4 linked regions of the Schizosaccharomyces pombe genome follow. The protein of the gene in region 1 binds, or shares a complex with, the protein of each later gene. Each region holds a gene or a part of one and is shown in the gene's direction. Other genes may lie near its edges.

Evidence for each region.
Region 2: the proteins of arc2 (region 1) and arp3 are in contact, whole or in part, in a crystal structure (PDB 3DWL), measured with the Schizosaccharomyces pombe proteins. Residues at the interface, in NP_593903.1 of Schizosaccharomyces pombe: Met1 (codon at 1,519), Leu4 (codon at 1,528), Asp5 (codon at 1,531), Tyr6 (codon at 1,534), Asn7 (codon at 1,537), Asn8 (codon at 1,540), Ile9 (codon at 1,543), Phe10 (codon at 1,546), Gln29 (codon at 1,643), Val30 (codon at 1,646), Val31 (codon at 1,649), Thr32 (codon at 1,652), Asp33 (codon at 1,655), Phe34 (codon at 1,658), Asp35 (codon at 1,661), Lys115 (codon at 1,901), Arg185 (codon at 2,111), Glu186 (codon at 2,114), Asp189 (codon at 2,123), Arg266 (codon at 2,354), Asn267 (codon at 2,357), Phe271 (codon at 2,369), His272 (codon at 2,372), Lys274 (codon at 2,378), Ala275 (codon at 2,381), Lys277 (codon at 2,387), Ala278 (codon at 2,390), Tyr279 (codon at 2,393), His281 (codon at 2,399), Gln282 (codon at 2,402); in NP_592898.1 of Schizosaccharomyces pombe: Ile8 (codon at 1,979), Tyr21 (codon at 2,153), Asn24 (codon at 2,162), Ala26 (codon at 2,168), Pro27 (codon at 2,171), Ser28 (codon at 2,174), Tyr29 (codon at 2,177), Asp71 (codon at 2,303), Leu72 (codon at 2,306), Phe74 (codon at 2,312), Trp102 (codon at 2,396), Asp103 (codon at 2,399), Gln110 (codon at 2,420), Gln111 (codon at 2,423), Phe114 (codon at 2,432), Lys115 (codon at 2,435), Leu117 (codon at 2,441), Arg118 (codon at 2,444), Cys119 (codon at 2,447), Glu120 (codon at 2,450), Pro121 (codon at 2,453), Glu122 (codon at 2,456), His124 (codon at 2,462), Asn141 (codon at 2,513), Glu144 (codon at 2,522), Phe147 (codon at 2,531), Glu148 (codon at 2,534), Ser149 (codon at 2,537), Phe150 (codon at 2,540), Asn151 (codon at 2,543).
Region 3: arc2 (region 1) and arc1 share a complex: the UniProt entries of both Schizosaccharomyces pombe proteins name them as parts of the arp2/3 complex.
Region 4: the proteins of arc2 (region 1) and arc4 are in contact, whole or in part, in a crystal structure (PDB 3DWL), measured with the Schizosaccharomyces pombe proteins. Residues at the interface, in NP_593903.1 of Schizosaccharomyces pombe: Leu2 (codon at 1,522), Ser3 (codon at 1,525), Thr188 (codon at 2,120), Ile191 (codon at 2,129), Phe192 (codon at 2,132), Lys194 (codon at 2,138), Val195 (codon at 2,141), Phe196 (codon at 2,144), Glu199 (codon at 2,153), Phe200 (codon at 2,156), Ala203 (codon at 2,165), Ala212 (codon at 2,192), Pro213 (codon at 2,195), Val215 (codon at 2,201), Phe243 (codon at 2,285), Leu245 (codon at 2,291), His249 (codon at 2,303), Asn254 (codon at 2,318), Cys258 (codon at 2,330), His261 (codon at 2,339), Ile262 (codon at 2,342), Val264 (codon at 2,348), Phe265 (codon at 2,351), Thr268 (codon at 2,360), His272 (codon at 2,372), Ser276 (codon at 2,384), Tyr279 (codon at 2,393), Met280 (codon at 2,396), Arg283 (codon at 2,405), Met284 (codon at 2,408); in NP_594116.1 of Schizosaccharomyces pombe: Glu81 (codon at 2,412), Ile82 (codon at 2,415), Ile85 (codon at 2,424), Leu86 (codon at 2,427), Lys89 (codon at 2,436), Phe90 (codon at 2,439), Phe93 (codon at 2,448), Leu94 (codon at 2,451), Arg97 (codon at 2,460), Ser100 (codon at 2,469), Phe101 (codon at 2,472), Phe102 (codon at 2,475), Ile103 (codon at 2,478), Glu125 (codon at 2,725), Met126 (codon at 2,728), Leu127 (codon at 2,731), Lys130 (codon at 2,740), Leu131 (codon at 2,743), Phe134 (codon at 2,752), Glu137 (codon at 2,761), Phe138 (codon at 2,764), Glu141 (codon at 2,773), Ala144 (codon at 2,782), Glu145 (codon at 2,785), Glu148 (codon at 2,794), Met149 (codon at 2,797), Phe152 (codon at 2,806), Leu153 (codon at 2,809), Asn154 (codon at 2,812), Arg156 (codon at 2,818).

Annotation. Positions count from the first base shown.
Region 1 is NC_003424.3:2,749,224-2,752,489, reverse strand, and holds arc2 (ARP2/3 actin-organizing complex subunit Arc34), read left to right. Parts: upstream 1-1,507; 5' UTR 1,508-1,518; coding exon 1,519-1,580; intron 1,581-1,620; coding exon 1,621-2,512; 3' UTR 2,513-2,766; downstream 2,767-3,266. Other genes in the region: SPOM_SPAC6F6.11C (pyridoxine-pyridoxal-pyridoxamine kinase), read left to right, coding at 1-103, 161-278, 338-818; NuA4 histone acetyltransferase complex subunit Eaf6, read right to left, coding at 2,943-3,266. UniProt on the Schizosaccharomyces pombe protein: Functions as actin-binding component of the Arp2/3 complex which is involved in regulation of actin polymerization and together with an activating nucleation-promoting factor (NPF) mediates the formation of branched actin networks.
Region 2 is NC_003424.3:348,520-352,893, forward strand, and holds arp3 (ARP2/3 actin-organizing complex actin-related protein subunit Arp3), read left to right. Parts: upstream 1-1,913; 5' UTR 1,914-1,957; coding exon 1,958-1,992; exon of another isoform or gene 1,993-2,055; coding exon 2,056-2,079; exon of another isoform or gene 2,080-2,151; coding exon 2,152-2,680; exon of another isoform or gene 2,681-2,775; coding exon 2,776-3,375; exon of another isoform or gene 3,376-3,440; coding exon 3,441-3,536; 3' UTR 3,537-3,777; downstream 3,778-4,374. Other genes in the region: GATOR2-SEACAT complex ubiquitin-protein ligase E3 subunit Sea4, read left to right, coding at 1-1,393; SPOM_SPAC630.04C (uncharacterized protein), read right to left, coding at 3,908-4,374. UniProt on the Schizosaccharomyces pombe protein: Functions as ATP-binding component of the Arp2/3 complex which is involved in regulation of actin polymerization and together with an activating nucleation-promoting factor (NPF) mediates the formation of branched actin networks.
Region 3 is NC_003423.3:2,212,573-2,216,331, forward strand, and holds arc1 (ARP2/3 actin-organizing complex WD repeat subunit Sop2), read left to right. Parts: upstream 1-1,825; 5' UTR 1,826-1,865; coding exon 1,866-1,938; exon of another isoform or gene 1,939-1,985; coding exon 1,986-3,046; 3' UTR 3,047-3,245; downstream 3,246-3,759. Other genes in the region: meu17 (glucan-alpha-1,4-glucosidase), read right to left, coding at 1-800; cdc18 (MCM loader), read right to left, coding at 3,568-3,759. UniProt on the Schizosaccharomyces pombe protein: Functions as a component of the Arp2/3 complex which is involved in regulation of actin polymerization and together with an activating nucleation-promoting factor (NPF) mediates the formation of branched actin networks.
Region 4 is NC_003424.3:3,257,971-3,261,430, reverse strand, and holds arc4 (ARP2/3 actin-organizing complex subunit Arc4), read left to right. Parts: upstream 1-1,946; 5' UTR 1,947-1,986; coding exon 1,987-1,989; intron 1,990-2,043; exon of another isoform or gene 2,044-2,044; coding exon 2,045-2,247; exon of another isoform or gene 2,248-2,377; coding exon 2,378-2,501; exon of another isoform or gene 2,502-2,682; coding exon 2,683-2,859; 3' UTR 2,860-2,960; downstream 2,961-3,460. Other genes in the region: ubiquitin hydrolase Ubp6, read right to left, coding at 324-1,730; gamma tubulin complex linker, pericentrin/kendrin Pcp1, read left to right, coding at 3,266-3,460.

The DNA of each region.
Region 1 (3,266 bases):
TATGAATGTTTGTTGACAGGATATGCCCGTGGAATAGGAAGTGTAAAAGCAATAATGGAGATAGTTCGCTCCGTAAAATCCAAGAATAAGAAGGCTTTTTGGGGTATGTGCGTTAGAAGTTGCCAATTCCCTTGAAGACTGACATGCTGACGCTAAAAAGTTTTTGATCCAGTTTTGGGAGATAATGGAAGGCTTTATGTCGAAGAAAGCATTATCCCGCTGTATAGAGAGATGCTCCCTTTTGCTGATTTAATTACACCTAATGGGTTTGAAGCAGAGTGAGTACTTTTAAGGAACAATCCTGCAATGAGTTTGAAAATCACTGACTTTTACTTAGAATTCTTTCAGGGATGCGCATAAATTCAATCGACACAGCATTTAAATGTGTGGAATGTCTACAACAAAAATATAAAGTTCCACGGGTTGTCATTTCATCTTTTGTCGTTGAAGAAAACGGCGTAGAAAAACTCTACTGTATAGGATCTTCTATATATTCCAAAAGTTTTTTTGTTCTGATTCCCGTGATTCCTGGGATATTTCGGGGAACTGGTGATCTATTTACAGCACTAATGGCAGCTCATATTGCTGAGAGCCCGGATTGTACTGAGAGCCTTGCCTCTATAAAGGAGGATAAACTTAAGAAATCAGTAGAAATGGCCCTTAGTTCTGTGCATGAAGTGATCCAAAAAACTGCCGACCGAATTTCTGCATTAGGTGTTGAAGAATATCACCCAGCTTATGCCGAACTCTGCATAGTTAATAGTCAAAATAGCATAATAGCTCCATCCAAATTATTCGAAGCAGTATACTATTATTAAATTTCGGATCTTTTATGCGTCTAAAATATGTTGGCCTTACTGTACCAAGGCCTGCTGTTTCAAAGTTGATTTTTTACTATCCGTTTTTCGCTTTCTTTTTTTGGATTGCACGTGAAATTCACAAAATATAGATTTTTTCAGTGTCTTGTTTCGTTTGCCTTTTTTACATGCTAACTTGGTGTTTGTTTTTCTCTTAAATAAAGGTTCATTACGATACCTCTCTTTTGCGAAGTATACAATGTTTTATATTAGAATGCTTATTGAAATTAATTTAGAAGTTTATAACTATTTATTCCATATCCTAAAGACTGTTGACTGGTTTCAAAATTTCGCAACCAAGGTTTATAAAAGCCATGTATTGGTACACTTCGAATTAGATAAAGTAATTAGATTCAGAACTCCTAATATACTGATTAATTTTTTTTTTTTTTTTTTAATTTCTAACATTTTAGATAAAATATTCAGTATATCCATAGACGGTAAAATAGTAGAAGTTTACCTAAGAAGCAAAAGGTAATCTAGAACAAAGAATGAGAACAAAAAGATTGTTAGTTCTTTAAAAATATATATTGAGTTCATGGTTTTAATATGATCTGTTGTTTTCTTACATGTTTGCAGATGCCTCAGTATAAGGATTTATAACACTATATGAACCTGAGTAATAAGAATTCCCGGGTCCGTCACACGTTAACCATCAACCATGCTCTCATTAGATTATAACAATATATTCATTTACGAGTTACTGACAGAAAGGTTTTCAAGGTATGTGAAACAAACAATAAAGAATTTCACTAATTTATAGCGAAAACCCGTCGTCGATTGATCAAGTGGTAACTGATTTTGATGGCGTCACGTTCCACATTTCAACTCCTGAGGAAAAGACGAAAATCTTGATCAGTCTGTCTATGAAATGCTATCCTGAGCTTGTTAATTACGGTACTCTGGATTTACTGAAACAGATTTACGGTGCTTATGTGCATGAACCTGAAATGGGATACAACTTCAGTATTCTTATAGACTTACAACAACTTCCCGCTACCGATGAGGAAAAAGAACAATTAGCTATGTCTATTTCTATGTTAAAAAGAAACGTTTTAGCTGCTCCCTTCCACCGTGCATTCACCAAACAAGCCGAACTAGCTGATTTGGCTCGTAAAGACCCGGAAAATGCCCCTATGCTTGACAAGCAAGCCACTTCTCAGGAGCTCATGGCAATTCATTATCGTGATGAAGAAACTATTGTTTTATGGCCTGAGCATGATCGCGTTACAGTCGTCTTTTCAACGAAATTCCGTGAAGAGACTGATCGCATCTTTGGCAAGGTATTCTTGCAGGAATTCGTTGATGCCCGTCGCCGTCCGGCTATTCAAACCGCTCCTCAAGTGCTCTTTTCCTATAGAGATCCACCTTTGGAGATTCGTGATATTCAGGGTATTCAAAAGGGTGATGACTTTGGATTTGTAACATTCGTTTTATTTGAGCGTCATTTTACACCTCAAAATCGTGAAGATTGCATATCTCATATCCAGGTTTTCCGCAACACCCTACACTTTCACATTAAGGCTTCCAAGGCTTACATGCACCAACGTATGCGTAAGCGTGTTGCTGACTTCCAAAAGGTTTTGAACCGGGCCAAGCCCGATGTGGAATTGGAGAGAAAGACAGCTACTGGTAGGTCATTTGTTCGTGCTTAATGTTCCGTCCCATGTTGATCCTTTCTTTCATCGTATCTTCATACGTAGTTATGATCTTTATATATGCTTCATGCTTCCCTCTCCTCGTAACAAACGTGAATTGTTTCTCACCCTTTTTTTCTATTCAAAGCTGGGTTGATTAAATGATGCTAGCGCAAAATACAGGAATATCAATCTTTGATTGTAGATACACACGTTACATAAGAGATGCTTATTTTTTGAAAATGAAAATTGTATTATACAAGTCATAAATAGTAACTGTTCTAAAGGACAAACTTTGAATAGCTAGTTAAGCCGTAATTTTGTAGCGCTATTGCAAAATACTTAGAAGAAGGAGAAAATAATCGCAAATTGATTTGTAAAAGCTCCGAAAAAGGAACTTCCTCATAAAATTTAAAGTATATTCTTTATATCCGTTTTCTGAGTAACATTATAGTTCTCGAAAAGAAGAACGTCTTCTTCCTTCGTGACTATCAGATTCATTTTTTCGTTTTCTTCTTCGACTAGTTTCTGTCGAGTCGTCGAGGTCATAAGCTGGACTACGTGTATGGGGACTCGACAGGGAAGAAAGAGAAAACAGTCTGTCTGATTCCGAATAGTCTGCACGACGGCGGAGGTTTGATGCATTGTTTTTTAAAAGACCTTCGAATCCACGAATAATGTTGCCAGTACCCGATGTTTTTTCTAAGTAACTGCCTTCCAGCCTATAGATAGAGTCCTCGAGACCTATTAACGAAGTTTCCAACAATTGTCG
Region 2 (4,374 bases), 2.4 Mb from region 1:
AGATCTATGGTCTTGGATTCACTTAAGCCATAGACAATCAGAAGAATCACTGTTTGGAGACACAGGAGATACAGATTTCAGCTATCAAGGTGCACTAGGTATTTGGTTTATGGATACTGAATTGACTAGCATGTCCGATGTTTTTGAAGCAAAAGAAAGCAAATTTTTAGAAAAAAAAATTTTAAGACTTGCTAGAGATGTTATTGAGAGACTTGATTTAGATATATTTACGTCTATCCAAACTAAAAGGCCTTTACGCCAACTCGCTTTACTTGCCTGTGGATTAGGAATGTCAAATGATGACTTGTTGTTGGAAATTAGAAGACTGATTCGCAAGAATGAGCATGTAAAAGCCGCTGGGTTAGCACTTTTCCACGGAAAAATTGAAAACGTAGTCCGTATATTATCAAGTGGGAATGAGCTGGAGAAGACCATATCCACAGCAGTTGCCGGATACATTACATCGCAAGGCTTAAGTAACTTTGGAAGTGACTCATTGTGGAAAGAAATGTCTCGTAACTTAAGTACAGAATTGGAAGATCCATACTTACGTGCAATATTTGCGTATGTTTCCAACTCCGATTGGAGAGATGTATTAGATGAAGTTTCTCTCTCATTAAAAGATCGTCTTGGAATTGCTCTTCGCTTTTTACCAGATGACGATTTGAGTAATTATTTGTGCGATTTATGTCACACTACAGTGCAATCAGGCGACCCAGAAGGCCTGTTACTTACAGGTTTAACTCCTTTGGGAATGGAACTTCTGCAGAACTACATTGATCATACAAGCGATGTTCAAACTGCTGCATTGATTGCTGCATTTGTGGTACCTAAGAAATTTCTGGATAAACGTGCAGAGGATTGGACTGAAAGTTATAGAGAGCTTCTAAACCGCTGGAAACTTTACCGTGAGCGTGCAAAGTTTGATATCTTTCGGACAGAACTCTCAAAAAATCACACAGGAGAAATAACCAGAAAGGCTACAGAGCCATCTATACGCATTATCTGCAATTTTTGTAGAAAACCAATTTTTCCTTTCTCCAATAGGAATGAATGTAATAATTTACCAACGCCAATTCAACGAGGTGTCAGTAAAGCAGGCCCAGCAAAACACTTGGGAAAAAGTTGTCCTCATTGCGGACAGCCTCTTCCAAAGTGCTCTGTATGTGGGTTTTCTTTAGGAGATGAAGATGTTCCTCAGAAAGATGACTTTTCTCAAAAACCTCAAAACTATGTCAAAGAAGTTAATCTTCAGAAATCTAGATTTGGGTTATGGTTTAGCTTTTGTCTAAATTGTGGCCATGGAGCTCACGCATCTCATGCTTCAGAATGGTTTTCAACTCATACAATATGTCCGGTTCCTAACTGTGATTGTGAATGCAAACTGAAATAGAAATTGCAAATGAGAGCATTAATTAATAGCATTAAAATAACAGTTTATGGTTTGGTTCACAAGTAATAATTGCTACATGAGTGAATATAAAATCCATGATTACAGCTTAAAAATGTTTAAGGCTAAGAGGTTTAAAGCATAAGGTCTTTAATACTATGATTTGTTTAAAAATTCGACATAGCTATCTACATTTGTAATTGTTTGATAATACCAACGTGGTTAGTTTTATTACTGAAAAGGGATTAACGCAAGATCGTTAATATTTAATTTTCTAGTAGCAAGAAGCGTCTTCTAGCTTAGCAACTTGGTAATTTTAACCGGTGGTACTGGTATTGAAGAAATACATATTTAATTTTTTGTGTAAATTAATTTGGCCTTAGTAAAGATATCCAAAGTGGGTTGTATACGGGCATTCGCATTTAACGTAATCGGCTCATCTCGTAAATTACCATATGTTTCCCGTTAACCCACGTAATTCGACATCGGTGACCGTTGCGAGACGATATTAAGAGTTTCAACTGGAACCAACTTCTCTTTCGCTTACCTTTTCATAAAATAATAGCAATGGCTTCGTTTAATGTTCCCATTATAATGGACAAGTAAGTATTGATGTAGCGAAGTTAAATTGTTCGTGAATATCAGTTACTAACTTTATTTGTTAGCGGTACCGGCTATAGCAAGCTTGGGTATGTGTAATAGTCGTTTTAGGATGTTATTATCTCTCTTTTGAGCATTTATTAACAGTAATTTAATTTCAGCTATGCTGGGAACGATGCTCCTTCTTATGTATTCCCCACTGTTATTGCGACGCGTTCTGCGGGTGCTTCTTCAGGGCCGGCTGTTTCATCAAAGCCTTCTTACATGGCCTCGAAAGGCAGTGGGCATCTCTCAAGCAAAAGGGCAACTGAGGACTTGGACTTTTTTATTGGAAACGATGCATTGAAAAAGGCGTCTGCTGGATATTCTTTGGACTATCCTATCCGTCATGGACAAATAGAAAATTGGGACCATATGGAGCGTTTTTGGCAACAGTCTCTCTTTAAATATTTACGTTGTGAACCAGAGGACCATTATTTTCTTTTGACCGAACCTCCTTTGAATCCACCTGAAAACCGTGAAAATACTGCAGAGATTATGTTTGAGTCGTTCAACTGTGCAGGACTCTACATTGCTGTTCAAGCGGTTTTGGCTCTTGCCGCCTCTTGGACATCTTCAAAAGTTACTGATCGTTCGTTGACCGGTACTGTTGTTGACTCTGGTGATGGCGTTACTCATATTATTCCTGTTGTATGTATAAAAAATCTAATACGAGCTTAGATAAACAGTTTTGAACATTAAATGCATATATATATGCCCGAATTTTACTAACTGATAAACCTTAGGCCGAAGGATATGTTATCGGCTCTTCCATTAAGACAATGCCACTTGCTGGTCGTGATGTTACGTACTTTGTTCAATCCTTATTACGTGACCGCAATGAACCTGATTCAAGTCTCAAAACTGCTGAAAGAATTAAAGAGGAATGTTGCTACGTTTGTCCGGACATTGTTAAGGAGTTTAGTAGATTTGATCGTGAGCCCGACCGTTATTTAAAATATGCATCTGAATCAATTACTGGACACTCTACTACTATTGATGTAGGATTTGAACGCTTCCTCGCACCTGAAATATTTTTTAATCCTGAGATTGCTTCTTCCGATTTTTTGACCCCTCTTCCGGAACTTGTGGACAACGTCGTACAGAGCTCACCCATTGACGTTCGTAAAGGCCTTTATAAAAACATTGTCCTTTCTGGTGGTAGTACTTTGTTTAAGAACTTTGGCAACCGCTTACAAAGAGATCTCAAGCGGATTGTTGACGAGCGTATTCACCGCAGTGAAATGCTCTCCGGTGCTAAAAGTGGTGGTGTAGACGTTAATGTTATCTCCCATAAACGTCAACGAAATGCGGTTTGGTTTGGCGGCAGTTTACTAGCACAAACGGTATGTCATTATCTTATGTTTGTATATTTTTTAGTTTACCCGTAGAGATTTACTGACATGTTTAGCCTGAATTCGGATCCTATTGCCATACCAAAGCAGATTACGAAGAATATGGTGCTTCCATTGCTCGTAGGTACCAAATTTTTGGAAATTCTCTTTAATGAAATATATCATGAGTTTTGCGTCTATAGGATTTACTGATTAAAATGAAAAGTTTAATGGAGCAGGCATTAGCCTTAGAAGAAATAGACTTGAGGTTTGCTATGTTTCCAGGCTTTTTCATTGAGCAATATCAAATAAGATGTATATAATTAACTTGTCCAAATAATAATGATGAGAACCATGAGAATAATAATATAGTGATTACTAATAACGTAAAAGGAGAAAAAAAAAGAAAACGGATGAAACCGATGGGTTCCGCCTGATAAATACTTTATTATTCAAGAACGATGGATAAAATGGAAAGTGTACAAGTACTCAACGAATTTGTTGAGAGAAAGCAGAAGCAATCAAGTAGTCATCATAAAAAAAACTAAACTTCATCATTTTGCGGAGCAGGTAATGATTCATAAGAAGGTGGGCGTTCAATTGCACCGGCAACAGATGGAACGTCGCCGACAAATTCACCATTTTCATCAAATATTGCGGGCGGGGGAGGTGTGCTTGTGGTGGGTAAAGTTTTCAAGTACTGCTGGTTAAGAGCAGTAATAGGTTCATAAAGAGGGAGGCAATCAGTCTGTCGAACATGATGTTCGAATTGTTGTGATGCTCCGGAAGAAGAGCGCTCTCTCCTGTGAATTGAGTGTTGTGTTCTCTGCTGTTCCCGTGCAGAAATTATGGTTCGACACGCTTTAATTCTTTCATGATGCAACATAAATATGACAAACACAACGCAGATTATCCCAAACGTTAATACCAACACTTTTCCCCAGAACTGGGAGTAAGGGTCATACGGGATATCTGAAGCATCTGATGTTGAAACCAATTGATCATTAGCCA
Region 3 (3,759 bases), on another chromosome or scaffold:
TAACCCTTAATAACACCCATTCCAGGATCCCAGAACTCTCCCAGTTTTAGATCAATAGGCTCGATCGTGCGTTGGTAGAGTGCGGCTTGGTCAGGTGCTCCAATTCTCTTTGCAAAAGCTGTACCATCTTGCATGGCACGCTTCTGAACGGCTAGAGTAAAGTAATGAACGTCCTTAATTTCTTCCCAAAGATCAAAGCTTGCCTCTGTCCAGTGATTTGCAGTATAATCCAAGTCGGCTAATACAGCCTCAATCCAGACAGTAACTTCATGGACCTCTTTACCATTTTCAAATAAATAATTCATGTATTTGATAAATGCAATAGCCCGAAGAGCAGGGGAATCATTCTGGGGACGTCCCCAATCTCCGTCATAGCTTGTCCCATCAACATTAAATTTAGGCTCACCAAGACCTCCGGCGTAAAAGTCTCCACTTGGGTTCGGGACCTTTTGGAGCCTGACCATTTCATCCATATATTTGACGATAATCGGCTCAAGTCCTTTGTCCCCTTCAAAGAAACGATCTAAAATAGTCATGATCGTCAATGCACTATCACGAACCCATTGATAATAGTAATCAGGGGAATCAGTTGAAGGGGAAGCAATAATACATCCAGGATTAATATCCTTAGCATGCATACCGCTGTCACCGATATTGTTCAGCATATGTCCCATAGCAATACCCTTTTGCTGATCCGTCCATTCATCCATAGAAGCTTCCTTGCTTCTTTTATTAGGGGAAAGTAAGCTTTCTGCAGATACGACCCCCCCAAGGAGTAAGAATAACCAGTATGTACGCATGTTGGAATTTAAAAGTATTGTAAAATTGGGTAGACTATACAAATATTGATGGCAATCGTGTTTAATTATATAGGCAAACGAATAAAAATATGCGCTTTAGTTAAAATTTAACTGGAATATTTGCTCTATATATGTCTTTTGCTTTGTTTATTAGTAAACAAAAACAGAGGGAATTACCATCAAAATCGATCATCATGCTGCGACACGAATGGACAAAACTAGACTATATAAGTTAGTAAATAAACAGAGTAAATGAATGTGATTGATCCTTTTTGGCTTATACTGAAAATTTGGCGAAGCAAGGATTACCAAAGAAAATGTATTTATTGTTTGTTTATTTTCAACACTTGCTTATAAAGTTTGATTCTATAGTATTCAGATCTATGATAATATGGAAGTGTGCATTCACCAATTACTTAAATAGCGACAAAATTTGTTGAATTGGAAAAAATCGACAGCACAGCTTTTAATATCAAATACGCTACTGAGTCTGAGTATAAGCAACAAGTGTGATCTTTTTAAATAATCATCGTTAAAAAGCACAAAATATAACTGTGATAATGGACAAGATGTCGCTGTCAAATTCTGAAGCAACGTTTCAGTTACTCCAGCAATCATTAAAACACATCTCTTTGTTGTAAAGGAGAATTATTGTATTATGCTCTTCGCCCTATTATTTATTCATTAATAAGAAAAATACTCAGAGAGCATCGTTCACTCACGATTGTCAAGACATTAAGATCTATTGTTCTTCCACAATCAACGCAAATAGAAATCTTGTATCCACCTCATATTTTAAAAATAAAAAATCTCTAAAAGATATGCAAGAAAATCAAATTTTATTTAATGGAATTTTTTTTAGTCTTAATTGAGTTGTAATATTTACAAACCTTTAAAATGTAAACAAAGGAGTTACCGATACCATCGATATGCGTTATCGTATATAAAGTACTCTAACGTTTTTTGTTAATGTATCTACTGCTCTCGTCATCACCAATATCGATTCAGCCTTGGATATCGTCTATCATCCGCAAAACAGTAGACTGCTAGTCCTGTTACTGAAAAATGGCTACCTCTCAAGTTTTACACATTCTTCCTAAACCCTCTTACGAACACGCGTTCAATAGTCAAAGAACAGGTACAGTATAGGACCTAAATAAGTAGATTTTAACAAATTTGATATAGAGTTTGTCACCACAACTGCTACGAACCAAGTTGAACTTTACGAGCAAGATGGAAATGGGTGGAAGCATGCCCGAACATTTAGCGATCACGATAAGATTGTAACTTGTGTCGATTGGGCTCCGAAATCCAATCGAATCGTAACTTGCTCTCAAGACCGTAATGCCTATGTTTATGAGAAACGTCCTGATGGGACTTGGAAGCAGACCCTCGTCTTACTTCGTTTGAATCGTGCCGCTACGTTTGTTCGTTGGTCGCCTAACGAGGACAAGTTTGCTGTTGGTAGTGGTGCTCGTGTCATTTCTGTTTGCTACTTTGAACAAGAAAATGACTGGTGGGTCAGCAAACATCTGAAACGTCCGCTTCGTAGTACCATTTTGTCTTTGGACTGGCATCCTAATAACGTTTTATTAGCTGCCGGCTGTGCAGACCGTAAGGCATACGTTTTATCTGCTTATGTTCGTGATGTCGATGCCAAACCAGAAGCCAGCGTTTGGGGTTCACGTTTACCTTTCAACACTGTTTGCGCTGAATACCCATCTGGTGGTTGGGTTCACGCCGTTGGATTTTCACCTTCGGGTAATGCCTTAGCGTATGCTGGCCATGATTCTTCTGTTACGATTGCATATCCCAGTGCTCCCGAGCAACCCCCACGAGCTCTAATTACTGTCAAATTATCTCAATTGCCTTTGCGTTCTCTTCTTTGGGCGAATGAGAGTGCCATTGTGGCTGCTGGCTATAACTATTCTCCTATTCTTTTGCAAGGCAATGAGTCCGGTTGGGCCCATACTCGCGATTTGGATGCCGGAACTTCCAAGACCTCATTCACTCACACAGGAAATACTGGTGAAGGTAGAGAGGAAGAGGGTCCTGTTTCATTTACTGCTCTTCGTAGCACATTCCGTAACATGGATTTGAAGGGCTCCAGCCAGTCTATTTCGTCTTTACCAACCGTTCATCAAAATATGATTGCAACCCTTCGACCTTACGCTGGGACTCCTGGCAATATTACTGCGTTTACCTCCAGCGGTACCGACGGACGTGTTGTTTTGTGGACTCTTTAGAAAAGATATCGGCAAATGAATCTTATCAAATCAATTATCGAATTTCCGTAGATGTTAATCTCATAGAATAAAAGAATTGAACAAGCTTTAGCTAGATATAGTAACTGTTATTCCGCAGCTTATATGATTACTATGTCGTCTTATAAATTTTTGTCAATCATATTCAGTTTTGTGTATATATTTTTTCTTAGAGACCCCAAAATTGAGAAGTGCTTTTGCTACGTAAGTTTACTTATACCACCACTTGAGACTGAACCACGGGTATGCGTTCTTACGAATAATCATTAGATATAACTTAGATTAAAGTGTTTATTAATTGTATAGTTAGTAAAATTAGTAAAGATCAACCTGAAAAGTTTAAACACCAAGTTGGATAAATAATATTGTTCAAATTTATGTAATCCAAACAACGAAATTGAAAGGATGTTCTAATTTGATCCTTTCGGCAAAATTTGAAAACCGTAACGCGTGAAATAAAAATATAATGAATAGAAAAAAAGAATGAGAAAGAAATGATAGTACTATCTTCTGTCAAAAAATCGTTTTAAGGTACCAATGTCTCCAACAGCTGTAATGACATCCATTTCTGGAACAAGCAAACTAATGATTCGGTCCTGAGGCTTTCCGTTACGCTGCTTCGTGCGCAAACGAATGATTGCAAGAGTTTCTAAAGAATTCGCGACATCGCAAAATTCCGAACTTGTTAATGGATA
Region 4 (3,460 bases), 510 kb from region 1:
TATAGATTTCAATTTCTTAATTGATGCTAGTGTTTGTTGTGCATGAAAGTATTGTGGTATATGTGTAAAGGTAAAGGAAATAGTATTCATACGTTGGGTATCTTATTTGTTGCTTCAGAATAATATAGAATAAAGCACGTAAATAAATGCAACTGTTTACTGGAATAATATTTTGAGCGTTTTTATCTTACATAAATCATGACCCAGCCCTTCTATTAAAACGTGAGAGTAAACAATGCCACTTTGATATGATACGTTCTAGTTCTTTTCCCATAATAAACAGTCAAAAGAAGGTTTTAAAAAAAAATAAAGAAATCGTAAGCTCATGCAATGTCTTTTGCCTTATAAAGAAGGATGTAGGCACTGTCAGCTTCACCACCACCATCGAGAGTTTCAATTTTTTCAGCAGGAACGATAGATACCTTTGCGTCATTGAACCTGAACCATTCAGCACGATTATTGCTATTTCTTATCCAAGCTTGGTAATGGCCTGAAGATGCACTAGCACCGGCGTGTGATAAAACCCCGACTAAATCATAAAGGCCGGTGGGGTTGGCTCCTTCATCATCAGCGAGCTCAGGATCTACTAGTGATTGACACGTCGCAACCTGAGTAAGCCTGCACTCAGCTTCCGCCTCCTTCTCGTCCTCTGAAGGTTGAATTTTGATACGCTTAGCAGCTCGCTCATGTTCTTCATCATTTTTTTCAATTTCACGTAATTTGTCACGTACGGGAATCAATTTTTGTGAAAGTTCAGGAGTACAAAACTCGACTGCATCGAGCTCAAATGGAAACTTAACCTTACGAAGAATTTTAGCCTTTTTCCCTATTGATGCTTTCCAGTAAAATCGAACAAAATTAACAGTTAAATAATTGGGTAGTCGAGAAATCCTTGAGATTTTGCTATACATGGCATCACGATTTAATACATCACTATGCTTAGAAATTTTTTGCGTAAGCCCTTCAAGGATCCCCTGGGTCATATAGCTTGTATGCATAGAGATATGGCAAGGTAAACTCAAAAACGTATCATGTGAAATAGAGGGTTGCTCCTGTACTTCGTTTTCATCACATTTCATAGTAGATAAAAGTTTTCCAGCCATATTTTTTTGTACCCACTCAGATGATAGGGAGCGCTGTAAAACTGATAGCAAGAATGACCAGCATTCCTCAGCATCCTGTTGAGCATAACCCCCAGTTTCTCTACTCATTTCTGCAAACTGTGGATACTCCATGCGTAGACTTTGAAGAAACCTCATTGGTGTAACCGGAGCATTAGATTGCATAGAATTTAATAACGTCCGATATTCTGCCACCAAACCCCCAGAGGAATTGAATTGTGAGACAGCGTCTGATAATTCTGGAATGGCACGCAGCATTTGAACTGTAGAATTCATGTAACACGTGTTGCCTAAGTTTATAAGCCCTGACGGATAGCCATCATCTTCAGATTCCTCTTGTTCTACTGACTCGACAGCTGGAATGGGCATAGCTGTTGGTAGTTCGCCTGCAGTACCCATCATTAATAAAGTTGCATTTGGTTTAATACCAACTGAACCAAGCAAAACATCGTCTTTAAGCTGGCCACCTTTGACAATCACTTTCTGTCGTTCCGGAGGAACTTGTGTCAACGAGTATAGTTGATGTTTCAAGGTGCTTCCTGTTTCATTAGGTTCAATCTCTAAGTCGTACTTCTTCCCTTGCCAACGAATTGCTATGGGAATCATCATAAATGGTTTTTGTAATTAATGAAAGAAATACTTGTTTAAGCCCAATATAATTTTTTTTGTAATTCTTTGCAAATTATACTTATTATATATGTTGCTGGTACTTGGTGAAGGCCATACAGTAACGAGCTATATACTCATTTTCGGTAACACCACGCAGCGTGCGTGGTTGTGCCGCTAAACTCGTTAAGCAATATCACACTGACACTACGTGTTAGCACAAAACCAAACCCGGAGACTGACTCCATAGATTCTAATTATGGTAAGAGAGGAATTCTTTTGTTATAAAAAGATATGATTTATTAACGAAGGCATAGTCTAATACCTTAAGACCTTATTTAAACGCAGTTCGTTCTACTCTGACTGCTTCTTTAGCATTAGAGGAATTCTCATCAGAAATTGTAGAACGCCAGAGTCAGCCGGAAGTTGAGGTTGGACGGTCTCCTGAAATTCTACTAAAGCCCCTGGTGGTCTCTCGTAATGAGCAAGAACAGTGTTTGATTGAGAGCTCTGTTAATAGGTATGTCTTAGGCATCCGATGTTTCCGATTCGAACTGGTACATTCACTGATCTTTCGATTTGGAATAACGGAGTTTTGAAAGTCATTCTCATTATTTGGATTTTTTTTACTGATGCATTTATGAAATTAGTGTTCGTTTCAGCATTCGTATTAAACAAGTCGATGAAATTGAACGAATTCTTGTGCGCAAATTTATGCAGTTTTTAATGGGTCGTGCAGAATCTTTCTTTATTTTGCGCCGCAAACCTGTTCAGGTACGTTATTACAAATTGTAATTGGCAAAAAAGTGTTCAAGGGAAGAATTTCTAGAGATTTTGCGTTAGTTTAAGTGTTCACTGTTCTGCCTCAGCCATTGTATAGTTCTTCTTTTTTTTCTTTTTCGAAGTTGCCATTGCTATTTGTAAATATCATCAAACTAACCTTTCTTTGTTATAGGGCTATGATATTTCCTTTCTTATAACTAATTACCATACTGAGGAAATGCTTAAGCACAAATTAGTTGATTTCATTATTGAGTTTATGGAGGAAGTTGACGCTGAAATTAGTGAGATGAAACTTTTCTTGAACGGAAGAGCTCGTCTTGTTGCTGAAACTTATCTGAGTTGTTTTTAGATTCATGTTTACGTTTTGGACCCTATCGATGATTTTATCAATTTATACATAAATAAATGAGCACCAAATACTTCTTCCGAATAAAATTCCTATCTCTTCTATTCTGTATTGAGTACAATAAACATATCAAGGCAGTTTTACATTCGATAATCCTTCATATCTACAATCTCGCCTTTTGACTTTTAGCATCCTTACAAGATATAACGAAAGTATACGATATGTTGTTACTTATATTAGGGAGCTGTTTCGTAGTTTATTTGATCATTTGACGACTGTAAACAAACTACAATCAACAACATTTTTGCTTTTTAATGATTCTGCCAGAATAAGTAGTTTCTATATAATTTTATGCACTTGCGCTAGTTGGTGGATAATTTTAATAAATACATGCATCCGCAGTTACGTTATGTCTGAACGAGATTTTAATACGCAATCTCCCAAATTTAAAGATGAAAACGCGAATTCTGTGATCAGCCAATCTGATTTTTTGGGGAAATCACTCAAAAATAATAACGATGATTATTCTGATTTCCGTGGTTCGTACCTTAATGATAAATCATCTTTCCAGACGCCTTTGCGCAACGGCTCTTATCAACCAAAA